Linked DNA regions of Daphnia pulex. Each later gene encodes a partner of the first gene's protein in a complex. Links are inferred from orthologs where the notes say so. Each region holds a gene or a part of one and is shown in the gene's direction. Other genes may lie near its edges.

Region 1 (10,676 bases):
GCGGCCCATACCGTTCATTCTTTGAAGTTTTTCCAAGGTGTTGACGTCTTAATAAATCGTCGGGTCTCTCTGATTGTGTTTTCACGACACGGACGGAACTTTGCGGAAGCTCAGCCACAAATAGCGGACGTTAGATTAGTTCTAGTCAAGTCAGCCGGCATTAATGAACTCTCACACGGTTGACGCAAGGCGCACTCTCAGCACTTAATCAACGACTGTCACGACGACCCGAATAAATGTGACGCAAGTGGTTGGTGGACGGGAGGTAAACGAAAAAGCAGTTCACATTTAGTTATAATAGCTGCCACACACACACACACACGCCCCACAGGTATGTGCTGGTTTTTCAAGACCGGAAATCTCTCTCGACAAAAGTTGAAAAAAGATGGTAGGAGCGTAGAGAAAAAGGCGAACCTGGCCCTTTGACCACTAGGAGTCGACTGAGACCCTAGGAGGGACGACCCGTCGCTCTTATCAACCCAGCAGCGGCTGGGGCGGGTTCCATGTACACCAGTTTTGTGTGTGTGTGTGTCTATACGTGAACTCTATACTCTTATTTTCACTCTTTTCTTTCGCAGGGGGCTCCTCCTTTTCGGATGAATTATTATTTTCTTTTTGGTTGTTCGTTATTCAACATTTAAAAAAAGAGAAGAAGTTTTTGTGATTGTAATACGCAGCGGAGCAGTGACGATTGCCGCATCGATCTTGCCAAGTTTGAATGAAACATTCTTCTTCTTCGGCTTCGGTTATTTCCATTGGAAACAACCACCTGCACCAGCATTGGATGGATATATATATTTTTGGTCATACGGGACAAAGGCGCTGCCTTATAATGATACACAAAAGTCCGGCGGTCTATCTATCTATCCATCCAGCGATCCGTATAGGAGAAAAGAAAAAGACAAAATAACGAGAGCTAAAAAGGGCTGTGAGTTGAAATCAATCTTCCGTGTGTGCTGTGCTGCATGCGCTGGCCCGCTTTGACTACTACTACTATAGGGTTCGGTCGTCGTCGTGTGCCGACGTGATTTTATTCACTGGCCAGTTCACTTATTATGATTATTATATACGACCCCCCATCATTTTCTATATCTATGAATTTTGGTCGCGGGGGGAAAAATGCTGACATGTGTGACAGCCGAGGAATGTTAAACGCACGCAGCAACGAGTTTTTCCTTCCAGAACCTTGAAATCAAAATCTATTCCCATCTCATCCGTTTGGCTGGCCTTTTTGTTTTCCTTTTTATACATCTAAACACATTGATTCTTCTTCTTCTTCTTCTTCTTCTTCTCGGGACTGCCGCAGCACGGGACATCGTCGTCTCATCTGTTTTGAACTCACGAGGCTTTTTCACTTCTTCCAGTCACAGCGGGAAATGAAGAACCTAACCGACAGTTTCTCGTTTTTTTTTTTGGGCCTTTTGATGATAATATGACCGACCCCGGTCTTGAATATACGTTTCCTATATCGTTTTGATTCTGATGTAACCTTGTGGGTGGTGAAGAACGGCAGACGAGTGATGGACCCTCTTAAAAGAGTTTCTGTCTGCCCCGCCATTGATCGATATCTTCTTATTAAAAATCTGACGCAACCTCATATTCATGTAAGCGATCATCCTTTTGGCTGGGCGGCGCGCTGGGGGAAATTTCTTCACTCTCCTCCCGTCATCGCTCGTAAATCAATTGGAAAATCCGCCTCTTGTCGACAATCAACTTGATTACGCCAACAATGAATATCCCTACCAGCAGCAGTTGCGCGGATTAAAGTGTACTATAGCTACAGACTAAGCCGCAATGAAATGAAACTGATTTTCATTTCAGATATTTTATTTCACCGCTTCTTATCTTTTCTTGCTTGGCGTTCAACAAAAATTGGATAATGAGATGAGAACAAGACGACCCCAGCACAGAGTTTCTTCTTCTTCTGCCGTCTTCTGCTTTCGAAATTCCCGGTTGATAGATTTTTTTAAACGCGGAATATGTCTGTGTGGCTCGAGTCCAACCATTTTCGGATGTTTATATGTAACGTTAGTTGTGGAACGCGAGATGTTGACCCGTCGCGGGACCAAGTGGATTCGCGAAAGATAATAAATATTTATATCCGATGATTCAATCTCTTATGTGTGTGCTGTGCGTGAATTTCTTTCTTGGCAAACGAAATAACATCGAGAGGCGTGTTCCTGAATTGCGCGCTGAAACAGCTGCCAGTTTCACGATCAAAAGGCAATAGACCGGGGCGAAACCCGCGTTCGAAATGCGAATTCGAGTGCTGCGATATATACATTCGGCCAAAAGAAAAAAGCTCTCGATAGTGCAGCAGAGCATTGATTGCCTGCATAATTTCGGAAACGATTTCACGGTTTCCAATCGAGCGGACTATTAATCGCCGGATTCAAACACATTGGCTAATACCGTCGCGTTCGTCACTGTGACTATGTAGCTCTAAAAAATCCCTATTGAGGTTGATTTGTTTCTGTATAGTCAGAGAGGATAACCTTAATAAGATGGCATATGGAAAGTTAGAACTTGTTCTACTGTACATCAGATAAAAACCACGAATGCGCGTACATGGCTTATAGCGGTTGCAGCATGTTATATTACGGAACAAGGGGATTTCATACCGCGCCCAGCAGCGCCTTATCTCAACGCATTTATGACAGTGTAGAAAACTATAATCTCATGCTGTTCCCGACGACGACGAAAGTTGGCCCAAAACTACCGACTGCTGATATCGCGTATACAACAACAACAAGTCGACGATGTTAAATTCCAAACGTCGAAGAATTTCGCTGCGGCTATCTTTTGGAAGATGCTGCAATAAAGGCTGTTCCAAAGAATGCAAGGACAACATCAAATTCTTCGTTTTTTCTAGTTTCGTTTTTTTTCAAACCTCTAAACTTGTTCTTAATAGGAAACATCAAAAGTCAAGAGTTGATTTCCGACTGCAAGCCGTTCCACATTCCATCACTGGCGACAGAGGACGAGTTAATCGGTAAAGTTCGGGAACTCGATTGTTTCAGTCAATATGAATTGAATGACTCGAAATGAATTCAACGGTACATTATGAATTGAAAAAAAAAGATAAGTGCTTCAACACCCTTATTCGTTATTCCTTACCGCACCGCAAATAAAAATTTTTGAATAAGAAATTTTAAAAGATAGACAAGTTCGGGATGCTGAGTTGCACAACCGCAAAATTAGGATCGTGCGCCAACGAGTTTTTGTAACGTTGTGGGGATAGTAGAAAGCGGGTTTTTTATTATTTAAGCATAGAATTACTTATCTAATCTTAGAAATGTTCAGGATTATCGTTGTTTAGAACATTCTGCTTTTTATAGAGTAATTTTAAATGTATAATTCAGCTTAGTTTACCCATTAAAATTAAAGAAAGTCCAAGCCTGGGATGCTGTTTAGTCTTTTCTTGTGTTTTTTGACAGATCTGCTGACAAGTGACAAGCTCAAACACACAAGAAAAGACTAAACAGCATCCCAGGCTTGGACTTTCTTTAATTTGAATGGGTAAACTAAGCTGAATTATACATTTAAAATTACTCTATAAAAAGCAGAATGTTCTAAACAACGATAATCCTGAACATTTCTAAGATTAGATAAGTAATTCTATGCTTAAATAATAAAAAACCCGCTTTCTACTATCCCCACAACGTTACAAAAACTCGTTGGCGCACGATCCTAATTTTGCGGTTGTGCAACTCAGCATCCCGAACTTGTCTATTCAAAGCGTGGCTGCATGGTGGTTCTAGAGAGAAACTCGCGCGCATAGCAAGGGATCGGAATATGAACACGTCTTTTGAATTACTTTATGAGTAATAAAAACAGCTGTGAATAAATCATTCTTGATTATCACCACTGAAATTTTTTATTAATTTCACAATTTTATTGTATAATGCATTATGAAATCGTTCTATAAATAATAATAATAATTTAAAAAATCTTGTGATAAAGAAAGCGCAAATGCATTGAAAATGCTGTGTTTAGGGATAGACCAAGTAGAGAGTCGATGTCAGATGTTCAAAAATATTGCCTATCACACAATGCACGAGAAGTCGAACCCTAAACTCGAGCGCGACGCCGGAGCCAAGAGAGATTTCACTCAACCTTTGCTGAATTTTCCATCATGGAAAATCTGTAACATCCACAGGTAAATTCAAGTTTGACTACACATTTTAGTTCCAGATAGTTGAAAAGCAGTTATTTTGATGGTTAAATGTGTGTTTTTGGCGATGTTTAAAATATTGAAGCATGTCAATTTGAAAACCTTGCCGGGTGAGATGCCGGGGCTGTAGTTTCTTTCGCGTACTCGTCTAGCTATTAAAGAAAAGAAAACCCCTTACAACTTTACCGCCTTTCTGTGAATTAAGTTTGGTGGCTATACATGAGGGGGACATTAATTTTCAAATGGTGTGTAACATTGTCATTAAACATGTTGGACAAATGTAAGAATTATATCTGATAACATTTTCGCAGGTGATGCTCATCTAGGCAGTTCAAGTTACACATTGGACACGTCAACTTGAAAGAAAATGTATCTTTACAATCTGACTCTGCAGCGTGCCACTGGCATCATTCAGGCAGTCCAGGGCAACTTCAGTGGCACCAAGCAACAGGAGATTGTCATTGCTCGTGGAAAGGTACTCGAAATTGTGAAGCCGGATCCCAACACTGGCAAAGTACACACACTTCTCAGTCAAGAGGTTTTTGGAATCATCAGGTCAATCATTAGTTTCAGGCTTACTGGAGGAAATAAGGGTGAGTTGTGCAAATATAATTTTTAAAACATACATCCTGCTAACTTTCATTAATTCTGTATTTAGATTACCTTGTGGTCGGATCAGACTCTGGGCGAATTGTCATTCTTGAATACAATGCTGCCAAAAATGTGTTTGATAAGGTGCACCAAGAAACGTACGGCAAAAGCGGTTGTCGTCGGATTGTTCCTGGACAGTACATGGCAATTGATCCCAAAGGCAGAGCTGTTATGATCAGTAAGTTTTGATCCGTTTTTAATTTAAATTCTTGCAAGTGATGAGTTACGTTTTTATGTCTTCTTTCCCCATCTGAGAAAGATAATGCTGATATCTAACGTTTTTACTGAGAATTTTTTAAAATCGAAATCTTGTGGCTTGAGAGTGCGCATTGCTTTAACATTTATGTTTTTTTTTTGCATTGCAGGTGCTATTGAGAAGCAAAAACTGGTCTACATTCTGAACAGGGATGCCCAAGCCCATTTAACCATTTCTTCTCCGCTGGAGGCTCACAAGTCAAACACTCTAGTTTACAACATAGTGGGTGTTGACGTGGGATTTGAAAACCCTGTATTTGCTTGTTTGGAGATGGATTATGAAGAGGCCGATGGTGATCCAACAGGCGAGGCGGCACAGAAGACGCAACAAACGCTTACATTCTACGAACTCGATCTGGGTTTAAACCACGTCGTTAGGAAATATAGGTGCGTAACAAATCTTGGTGATTTTGGTTTTGCCTGGTTGGGTTTCAAAACCCCTTAACTTTACTGCTCTCTTGTCACTTAAAGATTGCAGCTATACATAAGGGGGACATTATCTATCATAGTGTGTAACATTGTTGACTTATGTGTGACAATGTAAGAAATATTTTGATGAACATATCTTTACTTTAATAGTGAGCCGTTGGATGAGCACGCCAATTTCCTCATCACTGTTCCTGGAGGAAACGACGGACCTTCCGGAGTTCTGGTTTGCTCCGAGAACTACATCACATATAAGAATTTGGGTGAACAGCATGACATTCGTTGCCCAATCCCCAGAAGAAGGGTACGTTTGATCATTTCATTATGTTATTTGGCGCGCGGTATCTCCAGCCGTGTTCTATACACGTGCTGGTCGACTAGTGCCTAAACTATACTTGGAGATGTTTGCATCGTTGGATTGTAATGCGCATATTGCATGCTGTCCTGGAACGAACCTCCGATAAGTTATTTATTCCATGTATTGAGGACGGTAGTAATAAGTTTTTTCTCTGTAGAATGACTTGGATGATCCGGAAAGGGGCATGATTTTCGTCTGCTCGGCTTCCCATCGCACCAAGGCCATGTTTTTCTTCCTTGTCCAAACGGAGCAGGGCGATATTTTCAAGATCACCATGGATATGGATGAAGAGGTGGTGAGAGAATTGAAAATCAAGTACTTTGATACCGTTCCAGTTTCGTCCAGCATGTGTGTGTTGAAGACAGGCTTTCTATTCGTCGCATCGGAATTTGGAAATCAGTTAGTTTTCTTAAATTTTTTTTTCTATTTGCTGAAATGATGTGTATTGTCATCCGTGTTTCACCTGAGATAACACTTTGATTATAATTTTTGACTCTGATTTCGGTTACAAAATTTGAAGTAGTTTTATGGGTTTTCAAGTGTATTAATTTTCCTTGTGTTATTAGTTATCTTTACCAGATTGCTCATTTGGGGGATGATGACGATGAACCCGAATTCAGCTCTACTATACCATTGGAGGAAGGAGATACTTTCTTCTTTGCTCCGAGACCTTTGAAGAATCTTGTTCTCGTGGACGAGATGGAGTCTTTATCTCCAGTTCTGGCCTGCCATATTGCTGATCTCGGTAGGTTTGATAATTCCTCCTGTTTTGAAAGGTTTTTAACATTTGTTTTCAATTTACAGCCAATGAGGATACACCCCAGTTGTATGCACTTTGTGGTAGAAGTTCTCGTTCGTCTCTTCGTGTTCTCCGTCATGGATTGGAAGTATCGGAGATGGCTGTTTCTGAACTTCCCGGTAACCCCAATGCAGTGTGGACTGTCAGAAAACGTGCCGACGGTAATTTTAATTTGTGTTGTGCTCAGCGGGCGTGTCACATTGTGCGCGCACGTGAGCGACTGGTGGTTGGACCATAGTTCAAACGCCAGTCTTTTTTACTGTTTTCAGGTTAGCCTTGATCTTCCCTGGAACCTAGTGGAGTAATGCTTCAGTTCACTTACTCAGCTGTACACTCCCTTTTTTTTATCTATCCCCCATGAGTCCTTTTCATTATTATGGAGGGGTTATTAAATTTCTTTTATTTTTCTTCACAGACGAGTTTGATGCTTACATTGTTGTGTCATTCGTGAATGCCACACTTGTGTTGTCCATCGGTGAAACTGTTGAAGAGGTGACAGACTCAGGGTTTTTGGGCACGACGCCTACTCTAGGGTGTTCCTCGCTGGGTGATAATGCATTGCTCCAGGTAATAAAATTTTGCAAAATACTCCTATCCAGTAATATCATAGACCATAACTATCTTAACAGGTTTATCCTGAAGGAATTCGACACATAAGGGCAGACAGAAGGATCAACGAATGGAAATCCCCTGGTAAACGAGCTATATCTCGGTGTGCAGTTAATCAGCGCCAGGTTGTCATTTCTCTAGCTGGCGGGGAATTGGTGTACTTCGAGATGGATCCGGTAAGTCCTTGTGATTGTGTAAATTTTTCCTCTATTATATTACTATTTTTAAATATATTTAGACCGGTCAATTAAACGAATATACGGAGCGGAAGGAGATGACTGCCGAAGTTGTATGCATGGCTTTGGCTAATGTCCCGTCTGGTGAACAGAGATCACGTTTCTTAGCTGTTGGCCTCGCAGATAATACTGTCCGCGTCATCTCATTAGATCCCAATGTAAGTTGTTATTTATTGCGCGATTTCCCCACTTTCATGATGAGAACTTAGGCTAGAGTTTTGAAGTATCTTAAGGTACTTCTGAAATTAACCCCTTCTCGTTCATTACTGATGATTAGTCTTTTCAAGTAATGTGGTGTACGCAGTTTTCTTTTCTTAATGTCTTGATTTTTGACATTACAGGACTGTCTTACACCCTTGAGTATGCAAGCGTTACCAGCCACTCCAGAATCCTTGTGTATTGTTGAAATGGGTGGTCACGATAAAGATTCCGAAACAACTGGGACTTCAGGACAGCTTTTCCTCAACATTGGTCTTCAGAATGGTGTTTTATTGAGAACGGTGTTGGATCCTGTAACGGGGGATTTGGCTGATACGAGAACTCGGTACCTAGGTTCCAGACCAGTTAAACTTTTCCGCGTCATGACACAAAATCACGAAGCCGTGTTAGCCATATCTTCGCGTACCTGGCTGAGCTACTACTTTCAGAATCGTTTCCATCTCGCTCCATTGTCTTATGATTCGTTGGAATTTGCATCTGGTTTCGCATCCGAACAGTGTCCCGAAGGAGTCGTCGCCATTGCTTCCAACACACTTCGTATTTTGGCGTTGGAGAAGTTGGGTGCCGTCTTCAATCAAGTCTCATATCCATTGGAGTATACGCCTCGAAAATTCGTCGTACACGATTCCGGGCGCATGATTATTATTGAAACCGATCACAATGCTTATACGCTAGAGACCAAGCTTGAGAGGAGACAGCAAATAGCTCAAGAGATGAGGGATGCTGCGACGGAAGAAGAACAGGAGTTGGCTCATCAAATGGCCGACGCTTTCCTCAATGAAGATTTACCTGAAAGTGAGTTTGGAGCTCCGAAAGCTGGTGCTGGTATGTGGGCTTCGATCGTCCGCATTATGGACCCTACTAGCGGCAATTCTTTGCACACAATTCGATTGCCACAGAACGAGGCTGCCCTGAGTATCGGATTGGCGCGGTTTATGAATCAGGACCCAGAAGATTATTTCGTTCTTGTTGGGGTTGCAAAGGATTTGAAGCTAAATCCCAAACAATGTGATGGAGGGTTCATCTATACATACAAGTGAGTTCCTTCGATTTTATATATTGGCATTTTTGTATCTAGTGATGATAAGAGCAATTTCTGATCAAAAGGAAGAAAACGTTCTGCAGTTCTGAAATGAACTCCCAACTATTGAGATGAGTGCTTTTATACCTCAAACTAATTGGTTGTGATTTTTTAAATTTAGATTGATAAATGAGTGGTCGGCGCTTGAATTTGTTCACAAAACTCCTGTTGAGGACACTCCCTACGCCATCTGCGCCTACCAGGGTCGAGTTTTGATTGGAGTTGGGCGATTGTTGAGGTTATATGATATGGGAAAAAAGAAGTTGCTGCGAAAATGTGAGAACAAACATTTACCAAGCTGTGTCGTCAACATTCAAGCCCTCGGTCAGCGTGTGTATGTGGCCGATGTTCAGGAAAGTATCCACTTCGTCCGCTACAAGCGTATGGAGAATCAACTGATCATCTTTGCCGACGATACACACCCTCGTTATGTCACCACCATGTGTCTTTTGGATTATGACACTGTTGCGGTAGCTGATAAATTCGGCAACATTTCAGTGGTAAGATATTTTAGATTCTCTGCAGGCACTTCTTCCTTCTATGATGTTTTAACATGTTAGACTACTGAATCTTATGATTACAACTCGTTACTGAGAACTGTAGACCCTTGAAGATAGTGTGTTGTGTAAATTATCCCATTCTAATAGTTTCTTATTTCTTGCTAGTTGCGGTTGCCATCTAGGACATCCGATGACGTGGACGAAGATCCCACTGGAAACAAATCATTCTGGGATCGTGGTGTTCTTAATGGGGCATCTAATAAGGCCGAAGTATTATGCAACATTCATATTGGCGAGACTGCATTGTCGCTTCAAAGAGCGACCCTTATTCCAGGCGGTTCTGAATCCCTTGTCTACACAACTTTGTCCGGATCTATTGGCGTGTTGGTTCCGTTCACGTCAAGGGAAGATCACGATTTTTTCCAAGCCCTCGAAATGCACCTCAGGTCTGAACATCCTCCTCTTTGCGGACGAGATCATTTGGCGTTTAGGTCTTTCTATTTCCCAGTCAAGGTAATGGGTTATCTTCACACAATTGCGACGTTCAAGGTTTAACAATTTGTTTTCTCTTCAGAACGTGATCGACGGAGATCTATGCGAGCAGTTTAACTCAATTGATTCGAGTAAGCAGAAGGCAGTAGCCGACGATCTCGACCGTGCTCCAAATGAAGTGTCTAAAAAATTAGAGGACATTCGTACTCGATATGCTTTTTAAAACTTGTAATGTAACAAATGTCGACGTAATACAACGGTTCGTATGACGTCAGAACTAATTTTTTTCTATTAATACATCAAAACATTTTTGCGATTGGATTCATTGGAAGATTAATTTCAATTTTGTACGGTTAACAGTAAAAAATAAGTCGTGTATAGCAATTTTATTTGTTAGAAGTCTCCACAAGACGGTTTAGCATTCGTAACTTTGGCCCCACCTACTAGTTTAATTTCTGTAATACCCCATGCCACGATATCTCCAATAGTCTGATTGAAACATCCCAAAGTATTCCCCTTTACCCCCCAAGAAATTGCCGAAATGTCGCTGGTTAATTTCGTACCTGTAATTTCACCTTTAACGTTTCCGCTCGCACCGATGCTTTCCATCTGATGACGCAATGGTCTGCTGTCAAAAAACATTAGGGTCATTTCTCCTTCGACTCCGGACGAAGACTGAAATCCACCAGGCCGATCGGGACTGAAGTCGAAATTGTTTTGTTGCTGTCCGAAAACAACTGTACCGTTGCCCCGGATCAAGAGTGGACGGAGACTGCTGTCGATCCCTTGTCCGATTAAATCGCCATCAGCGTAGAGCAGCCAACGCCCTGAAGCGCCTTCCCAAGAATGACAAAAGTGATACCAATGATGGTAAGC
Region 2 (10,727 bases), on another chromosome or scaffold:
GAGGCGCCGCTTTTATGGAAGATGAACCAACCCAATCTGCCTGACAACTATGCTGTAGCATTGTCTCGGTTCCACACGCAATTTCGAAGTTGGAAGAAATCCCCCTTGGAAGGACCAGTCGGGCTCACGTGGTACCTCCCACATCATGCAGTTTTTCATCCGGACAAACCTGGATAATGCCGGGTAGTTTTTGACGGTGTCGCCACGTTCCACATAATCTCCCTTAATAATTGTCTACTGACCAATCCAGACCTGTTGACGAGCTTAGTAGACGTGCTGTACGCCTGCGAGAAGGGCCGATAGCCATTTCAGGTGACAATAAAGTCACCAATTCTCATGATGCATTCTGAATTTACGTATTAACCTACGAATTTCCAAAACGGAAATGAATTCTCAACAAATTCGAAAACTCCCCGGAGCGAAGAAAGAATTTCCTTTTGTGAAATCCAAAATCGACAATAGGAAAACGGTCCCGGCTCAATCCGCCGGTTATTGACTTTGAATTCAGGTTATTGACTTTTGGCTCATTATATATTCTTATGACCTTGCTTACATGTGCTGTATGGCGCAGGTTCAGAGGGCAGGGCAGGGCTATAGAGTTTAATGAACTTATAAATGCCCATCAACTCGGGAATATCTAGTAGTCTTAAATTTTATGTTACCGCCCATACTTTTGCAGACTAGCAGACTTTAAAAAGTCTAACAGCAGAATTTTTGAGACCAGTCTTCATTTACATTTTGACACGTGCGTGCAAAATGAGTTCCTTAGAGAACCAGCAAATTTTGGAGCAGTTATCAGCGCAAGTGCGCGTTCTGCAAGCGCAAGTAAGCGAGGCTAGTCCAATGCCACGAGAAACCACTGGGACCGAACCATATAGTCGACGGTACACAAGATCATCTACAGGTAACTGACTTAAATACACCATCAAATCTTAAAATTATTGTCATCCATTTATGGCATTTATATTGTTATGCCATTTTTTTGTTTCAGAATTCGTTTTTATTTAATTATTCGTCTTATAATATGCCCCCCCCCGTTTTCTGCATGTTATTAATTAAAAAATGTAATTTTTCTATCTTTTGCACTTATAAATTTAGTAGGCAGACCTACTACTAGACGACATAATAGATCAAGCTCCAGCATGGAGAGACAGACTGCCTTTCTTGCGAATACTCGGTGACCGCGCGCTATTGACGGTAAAAAATATGACTAAAAAAAGATTAGAAAATTTGTCATAGATTTTCTGTTTTATTAGATGGAGAATTCGAACCTGAACTATTTTTTAAGGTGTTAACTGTGGTTTCAAAAAATTTTGACCTGATTAGCAAGCCTAAGCCAACAGCAACGAAGGTCATTGAATTGAATGCTGCTGGATTAGGAGAGATCACAGTTGAGCTTAGTGAAGATGACAGCTCAACCATGGTTTTTAATTTTTAAAGTCCGCGTCCGTCATTCCGATAGAAGTGCCTTACTGGGTCTCCGATCTGCATCATCTTGAGTTCGTGACTGTGCGAGGTGTTTTCTACCCTTCTCTCCAACGCTCATCTAACTTCACGTGTTCGTAGACGCCAGTGAATTGGATTACGGCGCCTCTGGCTTACCTGTTGTTGCAAAATAAGAAAAGCAACTCTACCATGTTTGTGATGTTCAAGTGTAGAGCCACGGATAGAAGAATGGCCACCCTGCTTGGTTCCCGTCTGGCCCGAACCATGAAGTCCGAGCTCCGGTTGAAAATAGATAGCGAAATATTTTGGTTGGACTCTTCTACTGTACTGCGTTGGATTAACATGACGCAATTTTTGGTACCACACCCGACCACACCATGGTGGCCAACTGAGTCGGCGAAATTCTTACCATCGCGATTCCATAGCAGTGGTTATATGTGCCGGGCACTTGTCACAAGTCGAAACCCCACCGACGACTACAGCCGTGGTGTTGAGGCGTCCGTCTTGACGGAAAATTATTAATTGTGGGCTGGCCCAGATTTTCTTCTTCAGTCCCGGGTGAGCTGACCAGCAATGCCAAAATATTTCTTCCAGCCAGTCAATGACCTGAAATCAACTCTTCGAAATGGGCCGGAAATATTTCCGCTCCTACAACTCATCCGCTTCTTCTCATAATTCAGCCAAGCTACAGTATATGCCGGCTAAAAGATTCTTGTAGAAGCCGAAATGATTCTTGTTATGTCTGCGTTAAGCACTGTATTCGAAGTACACAAGGCGTATGAAATACACAAGACGGGAACAAGACCTTCCTCCACTCTACTCTTGGCTCGAATGCCGTTCACCCCCTGGCCTTCTGGCGTGAGCCTTTCGTGCGCCATCTGTGATCGCATTCAATACATCACAATTCTTGTCCGCCTCGCCCAGCGTGAAGAGTACGGAAGGGAATTCAAAGGACTCAGTGAAGAAAAAAAGTTGGAATCAGGTTCAAATATCATCACACTAACCCCTTTCTTCTATGCAGAAGCAAACTCGATCCGCGTAGGATGACAACTGGGCTCCAGTAACTTTCCACTGGCCATCAAGCATTCGCTGTCATTATCAGCGGACCACCTTGTAACTAAATTAATCGTAAATAGGTAGTATATTTTCCTTAGGCACGTGACGGTCGAGAGAACTGTTACAGAACTACATGAAAATATTAGATCCCGCGATGCAGATCGTAAATCTACCGCATCCTCAAGAAAAGTTTTGATTGCCGGCGTTTCCGTGCAAAACTGGACATTCCAATCGCGCTCTTCCAATCCACAGGCTTGAAGACGACCGATCCACATTTTCCAACACAGGAATATATTACTTCGGGCCAATCATGACGACTGTCGACCGACGAACGGAAAAGAGGTGGGGAATAATCTATACGTGCTTGGTGAGCATATCTGTGCACTTCGACATGGCGAATCACCTAGACACTTCCTGGTTCCTTTTGGCATTTTCGAGGTTCACGCGCAGAAGAATTCGGCCAGACCTGATATATTCAGACAACGGCACTAACCTTAAAGCTGGTGAAAAAGAACTGAAAATCAGACTGGATCGTATTAATCAAACGGCCATCGCCAACGAGCTGGGCGCTCATAATATCGAGTGGATATTTTCTCCACCGTCCGCCCCTCATTTTGGCGGAGCGTTCCTGACTATCGAACGACGAAACTAATAAAAAAAGTATCGGTGCGATAATCGCCGATAGTTTTTGCAACGTTGCCAAAATTTTCCCTGAGAGGTTTTTAAAATTCTTATTTTAAAAAGCCGAAGGCTTACCGCCTTTTAAGGCCGAGATTTTTCCGACAGTCCTCCAAATACTATTAACCATGAAAGGTCCCTGGGGAATTGGGCGGGGAAAAACGAAGACGGTTTTTGGGACTTTAACGCTATCGTGATCCACCGATCACGACGCGACCTATCGCATTCGACGTAGAATGACGGTTTATATATATAATGATGAATTTTTATAATTGTTATGGGGGAAAAACACCAAAAAAAGAGAAAACTTCAATAACAAATGGAAGATAGCTTGCCAAAAAATTAGAGAATGCGATTGCTTCTAATAGAAAGAAGAACTATCCCTTTAACATAAACACAAATAAAAAACCGTGTAATTTCTTTGTTAATGAATTAAGAAAATTCATTTTTAATATTATAAATTCATGTTTAATATTTTAAAATAGAATAAACTAAAATCAGTAATAAAATTTGATTTGATTTTTTTGGCGCAAATTTCAAAAAAATGTGAATTTCAATCACGAATTTAACATATATAAAATTGACTAATCTAGATGAATTAGATTCGTAACTTTCTATATTAAGAACGAAAAACCTCTATTTTTGCTATACCTCCGAGAGGCGAGGGGCCTCCTAACCTATAGCGAACCTGGCGGGGAATTTTGAGATCCTTTACTAAACACCCGCCGGTCTTGGGGATAGCCGAGAGTGTACAGTATCCTTCAAAAAAATCCGAACGGCGATTTTTATTTAAATAGCCACCTATCCATAATGCGGGAAACTGGGTTTGGTTAATAGGCTGAATTTTGGGGGTAAAGAACGAAGCGAAAGGTGGGAAGAAAGAAACCCTCCCCCTCCGAAATAAAAAGTGTGAAACAAAACCAGACAGGCTGGTTGGAATAGCCGCAGGCTCACTGTCATTTTTTCGACAAGTGACGAGAAAACCAGAAGCTACCAAATCTAGCATTAAAAAGCGGGAAAGTTCAAAGGAATCGCCTTAAGTCATTTGTTTAATAATCGGCAATGAGTTTAAGTCGGTTAAATAAACTTTTCGCGCCATGAAAATTCCAGACAGCCTGTCTGATTTCATTCGTATTTCTTTTTGGGGGGGGAGGGGGGAGACATGGCCAATGGCTAATTACTCCTTTTTCTTTCTTCCCACCTTTCGCTTTGTTCCTTACCCCCCCAAATTCGGCCTATAAACCAAACCCAGTTCCCCGCCATATGGATAGGTGGCTATTTGAAAAAAAATCGCCGTTCGGATTTTTTTGAAGGATACTGTACCTTTCCTATTATATCGTGGTTTTGGCTTCCATTACTCCAAGGACAGAGTAATAGATAATGGTGTACCCACTACCATGTTAACTCCTCCTCTCGGAAATTTTTCCTAGAGCTGCAGCGAACATCACGACTCGATAGTGAAAACTGAGCTTAGGTATCTATGTTTATCCTCTATCACCAACGCCTCTTGCTACCGAGCGAAACCTTCGGCAAAACCATTCCCCATTTCCCACCACACCTGCTGTGGCGCTAATTTTAAGAGCTGGGAAGTGGAAAGCTAGAAACACTTTTAGGGAAAAAGGAAATGGAAGGCCTCCTGTCCTAGTGGCTACACCATTATCTACTACTCTGCCAAGGAGGTCTACAGACAATTATTTCTTTCTTTTCTGGGTTGCAACCATTATACTTCTAACATCGAGTCCACCAGTCAAGGAGGCCGGATTTGGGGGTCTGGGGGGCTTATCATTTTTGGGGAATTGGTGACAAGGCATCGCAGTACATCCCCAAATAAACCATTTTATCGGAATTTTACTGTTTTTTGTTGTTATAGTTTTGAATTCTTCACGAAAAACTATGAGGGCCCACCAGAAATTGTAGCGTTTTTTCGGGTTTTTTACATCAGTTTTCGGGTGAACCAGGCCGTTTAAAAAACGGATTTTTCAGAAGATTTTGCCCCTTTCCACAGACGTCTTGCCCCGTTTTTTATCTAAGCTTTATTGGCAGAGATATAAGGGATTTAAAATCTGGAAAATTTTCCGCCATTTTCTAACGATTTTCGTAATCATCCCACTTCATTTTGCAAGCCATCTACCGGCCGATTTTGAAAACCCTCTGGTGTGTAGGACAAAAATCTGAATAGCCGGGAGAAGAAATTTCCCTTGCATTTTCAAAATCTAGATATTATTTATAAACATGGATATGGAAAAGACAGGACAGGACAAAGTTCATTTTGCAAAAAGCTAGCAGCAGCTAGTAGCCTGAGCAGAGCCCTGAGCTAGCAGTTGGCAATTTCAATTTGTTTGAAGTAAAATTCATTTTAAACATGGCAATGTTGCCTGTATCTGTGTATCAAAATTGACGCACTCATGTGCATTTTGTATTTAACTCATTTCATTGCAAAATTTATTAAGTATTCCGAAATTAAACGTCTTTTCGATGGCTCGTGACGGACACAAGTATAATTGTTATTTTTATTTAACTTATTAATTCATTTATTAAGTAAAATAATATGCAGATTATAATAACGATATAGATTATGTAAATTTTTTGTTTACAGTTTTTCATTGCTTAATATTATTATTTTATTTACATTTCTCATCTACGCTAGGCATAATAAACGATCCAGAAGCCGAAGCAGATCCAGTAGTCCTCGTTCTAAAAAACTTCGAGAACGAGATAGAGATGGGGAACACAGGCAAAGAGACAGGGAACGTGAAAGAGATAGAGATCGGGACAGGGAGCGTGACAAGTAATTAATTTTTCATGTTTACAAAAGATAGTCTGATCCATGTTAAGAAGTAAAAACTACCTTTTTGTAACATTTTCCAGGAGAAGAAGCAGATCAAAAGATAGAGATCATGATAAATCTAAAAGATCAACAACAACTTCAGAACGAAGAATTTCAAAATCCCCTGATAGAAAACCAACTTTAGTCGAAGAAATTAAACCTGTTTTGAAATCTGAATCAGAGCTAAAGGAGGAAGCAGCTGTTGCAGCCATGATTGCCAAAGTAAGTTGTTCTATTTTTTAATATTTTGAAAGGGTGTACATTGTTTGTTTGTCTCTTTTCTTGCATATAGGAAGAGGAGCAGAAAACTTTGGACTTGGAAATGCAGAAACGCCGAGAACGAATAGAAAAATGGCGTTTAGAACGAAAGATGCAGGAAATTGCTCAAGTTAAATCTGATCTAGGTAATAATCTAGAAATAACTTTTTAAAAAAACTGACTGTCTTATATACTTCATAATATTGCCATCCTTTTAAACAGCCAATCAAAGAGCTGGGAAAAAATGGTCACTTGAAGATGATGAAGAAGAGGAAGAGGAAGATGGAAAATTGAAAACTGAATCTGCTAAAGTTGAAGCAATTGAAACGATCAACGAAGAAATTGAAGTTCAAGAAGCAGAGGAAGAAGTTGACCCTTTAGATGCTTTTATGCAGGTACTTCAGAATATCTACATGTGCCGATTTGGTTTTGCCGAATCGACATGGATTCGTACCTTACTGCTTACACTAGTATTTTTAAATCAACATCTATTTAATTTAAAAAAAAAAAATAGGACATTCAAAGTGAAGTTCGAAAGGTTCAGAAACTTGACGTTCAAAAATCAAAAGGATCTGGCGTGATGGTAATGACCGGAGTAGCAAAGAAAGCTGCTAAAAAGAAAGGTGAGCTTGTGGAACAAAATCAGGACGCTTTGGAATATTCCTCAGAAGAAGAGTCAGAAGACTTGGCATCAGCAATGTCCGGACTGGCGAATAGCAACATAAAACAGAAAGAAAAAGTTTTTAAAATTGATCACAACAAAATCAACTATTTTCCTTTCCGGAAGAACTTTTACGTGGAAGTACCCGACATAGCACGTATGACCCAAGAAGAAGTAGATGAATACCGACAGGTGTGTATGACTGATACAATTGCTAGTGCCCCAGGACGTTAAAAAAAAATTGTTTAACATATAGGAACTTGAAGGCATTAAAGTTAAAGGAAAAGGGTGTCCGAGACCTATAAAAGCATGGGCACAATGTGGTGTTAGTAAAAAGGAAATGGAAATTCTAAAAAAATTAGCATATGAAAAACCAACCCCCATTCAAACGCAGACAATCCCTGCAATCATGTCTGGTACACAACAACGAACACTTTTTTGTTGTATAAATTTTAAAAAATACTATTATTAAAATATATAGGCAGGGACATAATAGGTATTGCCAAAACTGGCAGTGGCAAAACACTGGCATTTTTGCTGCCTATGTTTAGGCATATTTTAGACCAGCCTGCATTAGAAGAGACTGATGGGCCAATCGGTACGTAGTGTTTAATATCATCGATGTATTTATTTTATTTTTTTTTATTATTATTATTATTTTACCTTCATAAATATTCCACTGTTTTAGCTATCATAATGTCTCCTACCCGAGAATTGTGCTTACAAATCGGCAAAGAATGTAAAAGATTCACCAAGTCATTGAATTTGCGTGTGGTGACGGTCTACGGAGGAACGGGAATATCAGAGCAAATAGCTGAACTAAAACGTGGCGCTGAAATTATTGTGTGCACACCCGGAAGAATGATTGATATGTTAGCTGCCAACAACGGTAAAATTTACCTATAGATTAACTATTAAAAAAGTGTCTTAATTTTAGTCTTTGAAATAGGACGTGTCACCAATTTGCGGCGTGTGACTTACATAGTTTTGGATGAAGCTGATCGCATGTTCGACATGGGTTTTGAGCCACAAGTAAGCAAGATAGTAATACTTCGTCGGGTGACTAGAAATATTTATTCCTTTTATATAGGTAATGCGAATCATTGATAACACTCGCCCTGATCGACAAACTGTTATGTTTAGTGCTACATTTCCCCGTCAAATGGAGGCCTTGGCTCGTAGAATCCTAAACAAACCTGTTGAAATCACGGTTGGAGGTCGTAGCGTTGTTTGTGCTGACGTCGAACAGCATGTTCTTGTTATGGAAGACGAACAAAAATTTTTGAAAGTTAGCTTTTTTCTTAAATTAACAATGAATTTTTGTTTATAAACTAATTTATTTTGGTAGCTTTTAGAGTTATTGGGGGTTTATCAGGAACAAGGAAGTGTTCTTGTATTTGTTGAGAAACAAGAAAGTGCTGATGACCTGCTCAAAGATTTGATGAAAGCTGGATACGATTGCATTTCCCTTCATGGTGGTATTGATCAGTACGATCGTGATTCAGCTGTAGTTGACTTCAAAAATGGAAAAATCAAATTGATGGTAATAGAAAATTTTAAAAAGATTTTGCTTGATGTTCGCCGTTTTCTATACTTTTGTTTGATCAGATTGCCACATCTGTTGCCGCTCGTGGTTTAGATGTGAAGCACCTTATTTTGGTCGTCAACTACGATTGCCCCAACCACCATGAAGACTACATTCATAGATGTGGACGCACCGGAAGAGCAGGCAATAAAGGATTTGCCTACACTTTTATTACTCCAGATCAGCAAAGGGCTGCAGGGGATATTATTAAAGCAATGGAACAATCTGAAACGCCAGTGCCAGTTGAATTACAAACTCTTTGGGACCAATACAAATCCAAGCTTGCTGCGGTAAATTTAGCAGAAGATTAAAAACCCTTTCAATCAAATAATTTGTTTCTTTCTTTCTTTCTTAGGAAGGGAAAACTGTCCGCTCAGGAGGTGGTGGATTTTCTGGTAAAGGGTTCAAATTTGATGAATCTGAAGCTATGGCTGTGTCAGAAAAGAAAAAATTCCAGAAAGCCGCTTTGGGTATATTAAGAGTTGGTTTTGGTGTGCATTTCGGCTGAGTATATTAATTTTTTTATTATTATTCAGGTCTGCAAGATTCAGATGAAGAAGATATAGAAAATGATTTGGATGAACAAATCGAAACTTTAATGGCTGCAAAACGTATTGTGCGTGAAGTTCAAGCTTCAACACTGGTGTCTGGGGGTGGCGGTTCTGTTGCCGCGAGCATTCCAAGCAAAACGGCTACCGACAAGCTGGAATTGGCCAAACGGTTAGCTTCAAGGATTAATCTTGCCAAGCAATCGACTGGTCCCGTTCCAGCCATTCCCGAAACATCCATAGGAGCAATTTCGGTAAATATGCAAAATATTTCAATATGAATTCGGATTTCAAAACTCAATCTTGTTTTTTCAATCAGGCTAGAAATGTTGCAGAGCAGTTGGCGGCAAAACTCAATACACGACTCAATTATGCCCCTGTTGAAAGTGAAGAACCTATGGAAGGATCAGTAGAAGAAGGCGGAGAAAATACTCCATCTAGCTCGGACGTCATTCAGAAGTTCGAGGAAGAGTTAGAAATTAACGACTTCCCACAACCTGTTCGCTGGAAAATCACGTCTAGGGTTAGCTTACGAATACGGTTAATGACTGTAGCGTTTTTTTTTTATATCATCTTTTATTTTTTCAGGAGGCTTTGGCCCAGGTAAGCGAATTTTCAGAAGCTGGCGTTTTTGTCCGAGGAACATATTGCGCACCGGGAAAGAAGATCGCTGACGAAGAGAGAAAATTATATTTAGCCATCGAGAGCACGAGTGAAATGGCAGTTTCAAAAGCACGAAAAGAAATTGTCCGTATTCTAAAGGAAGAAATGCTTCGATTGGCCAGTTCTACCTCCTATCAAGGTTCTAAAACTGGTAGATACAAAGTTTGAATCTTCTTGGTAGTACCGTACCGTCTTTTCCATCGTCTCAGAAAATGCAGTGAGTCAATACAAGATTTTACCATGGTGTTCCACTGTCGATATTTTTATATTTTTTTGTTTTGTCGGTTTTGTTCTGTTTTAGGGTTAGGGGTTGGGGGTTGGAGATGATTTATTTACATCATAAAAAAAATAAATTGCACTGGATGTTATGATTGGGTAATATTTTTATTTCATAACAACAAACTTCATATTAACATGTAAAAAATATATAAAATTTTAACCCTTTTCGCCTGACTTAAAATAAAAAATACTATATTAATAACCATGGTCCATGGCCTATGCTATAACCACTAATATAACTGCATCTGGAGTCTGTCTGGTGACTCTGGAGAGAAGATGATTTTTTTTTTAAATATACAATTGGTACAACTGCAGATCTACTTGACATTCGCCCTAGCGCCTTTAAAAGAAAAGAAAGAGAATAAAAACTGAAGGGGCTCAACAAAAAAAACTGGTTTAAGTTCAGTATTTCTTCGAAACTCTAACGTCGCTATCGACACCTCGATCATTGCTTAAAATAGAATTGTAAAGAGGATTTTTGAATTCACTGCATTCCCCTCTTTATTTTACATGAAAATGACTGATACATCTGTAAGTAAATAATAATGAATTAACAATGTATGACTGCACAATATGTTTAGATTTGTCTTTTTTACTCAGGTAGAAATCCAAAACAATAAAGACCACAAAGATGATGTTGAAAATGAAGAGCATGAGGAACATGATCCATATTTTGAACCAATTATTCATCTTCCAGAAGTGCACATATATTCCATGGAAGAAGAT

What was found. The genes of interacting proteins can lie anywhere in the genome.
Region 2: splicing factor 3B subunit 3-like (region 1) and probable ATP-dependent RNA helicase DDX46 share a complex: the UniProt entries of both Homo sapiens proteins name them as parts of the 17S U2 SnRNP complex. The link is inferred for Daphnia pulex from reciprocal best matches to the Homo sapiens genes SF3B3 and DDX46.

What each region holds. Positions count from the first base shown.
Region 1 is NC_060019.1:9,345,885-9,356,560, forward strand, and holds splicing factor 3B subunit 3-like, read left to right. Parts: upstream 1-4,004; 5' UTR 4,005-4,159; intron 4,160-4,485; 5' UTR 4,486-4,541; coding exon 4,542-4,767; intron 4,768-4,832; coding exon 4,833-5,003; intron 5,004-5,190; coding exon 5,191-5,467; intron 5,468-5,659; coding exon 5,660-5,810; intron 5,811-6,021; coding exon 6,022-6,263; intron 6,264-6,430; coding exon 6,431-6,609; intron 6,610-6,668; coding exon 6,669-6,824; intron 6,825-7,078; coding exon 7,079-7,230; intron 7,231-7,292; coding exon 7,293-7,448; intron 7,449-7,510; coding exon 7,511-7,666; intron 7,667-7,849; coding exon 7,850-8,763; intron 8,764-8,929; coding exon 8,930-9,308; intron 9,309-9,473; coding exon 9,474-9,821; intron 9,822-9,882; coding exon 9,883-10,023; 3' UTR 10,024-10,069; downstream 10,070-10,676. Other genes in the region: protein APCDD1-like, read right to left, coding at 12-18; neuronal pentraxin-1-like, read right to left, coding at 10,194-10,676. UniProt on the Homo sapiens protein: Component of the 17S U2 SnRNP complex of the spliceosome, a large ribonucleoprotein complex that removes introns from transcribed pre-mRNAs.
Region 2 is NC_060028.1:6,104,653-6,115,379, forward strand, and holds probable ATP-dependent RNA helicase DDX46, read left to right. Parts: upstream 1-5,476; 5' UTR 5,477-5,655; coding exon 5,656-5,675; intron 5,676-5,827; coding exon 5,828-5,968; intron 5,969-6,048; coding exon 6,049-6,229; intron 6,230-6,299; coding exon 6,300-6,411; intron 6,412-6,487; coding exon 6,488-6,660; intron 6,661-6,779; coding exon 6,780-7,118; intron 7,119-7,182; coding exon 7,183-7,342; intron 7,343-7,407; coding exon 7,408-7,524; intron 7,525-7,614; coding exon 7,615-7,815; intron 7,816-7,875; coding exon 7,876-7,958; intron 7,959-8,016; coding exon 8,017-8,214; intron 8,215-8,274; coding exon 8,275-8,469; intron 8,470-8,534; coding exon 8,535-8,801; intron 8,802-8,866; coding exon 8,867-8,981; intron 8,982-9,047; coding exon 9,048-9,313; intron 9,314-9,378; coding exon 9,379-9,582; intron 9,583-9,647; coding exon 9,648-9,890; 3' UTR 9,891-9,968; downstream 9,969-10,727. Other genes in the region: ran-specific GTPase-activating protein-like, read left to right, coding at 10,512-10,532, 10,602-10,727. UniProt on the Homo sapiens protein: Component of the 17S U2 SnRNP complex of the spliceosome, a large ribonucleoprotein complex that removes introns from transcribed pre-mRNAs.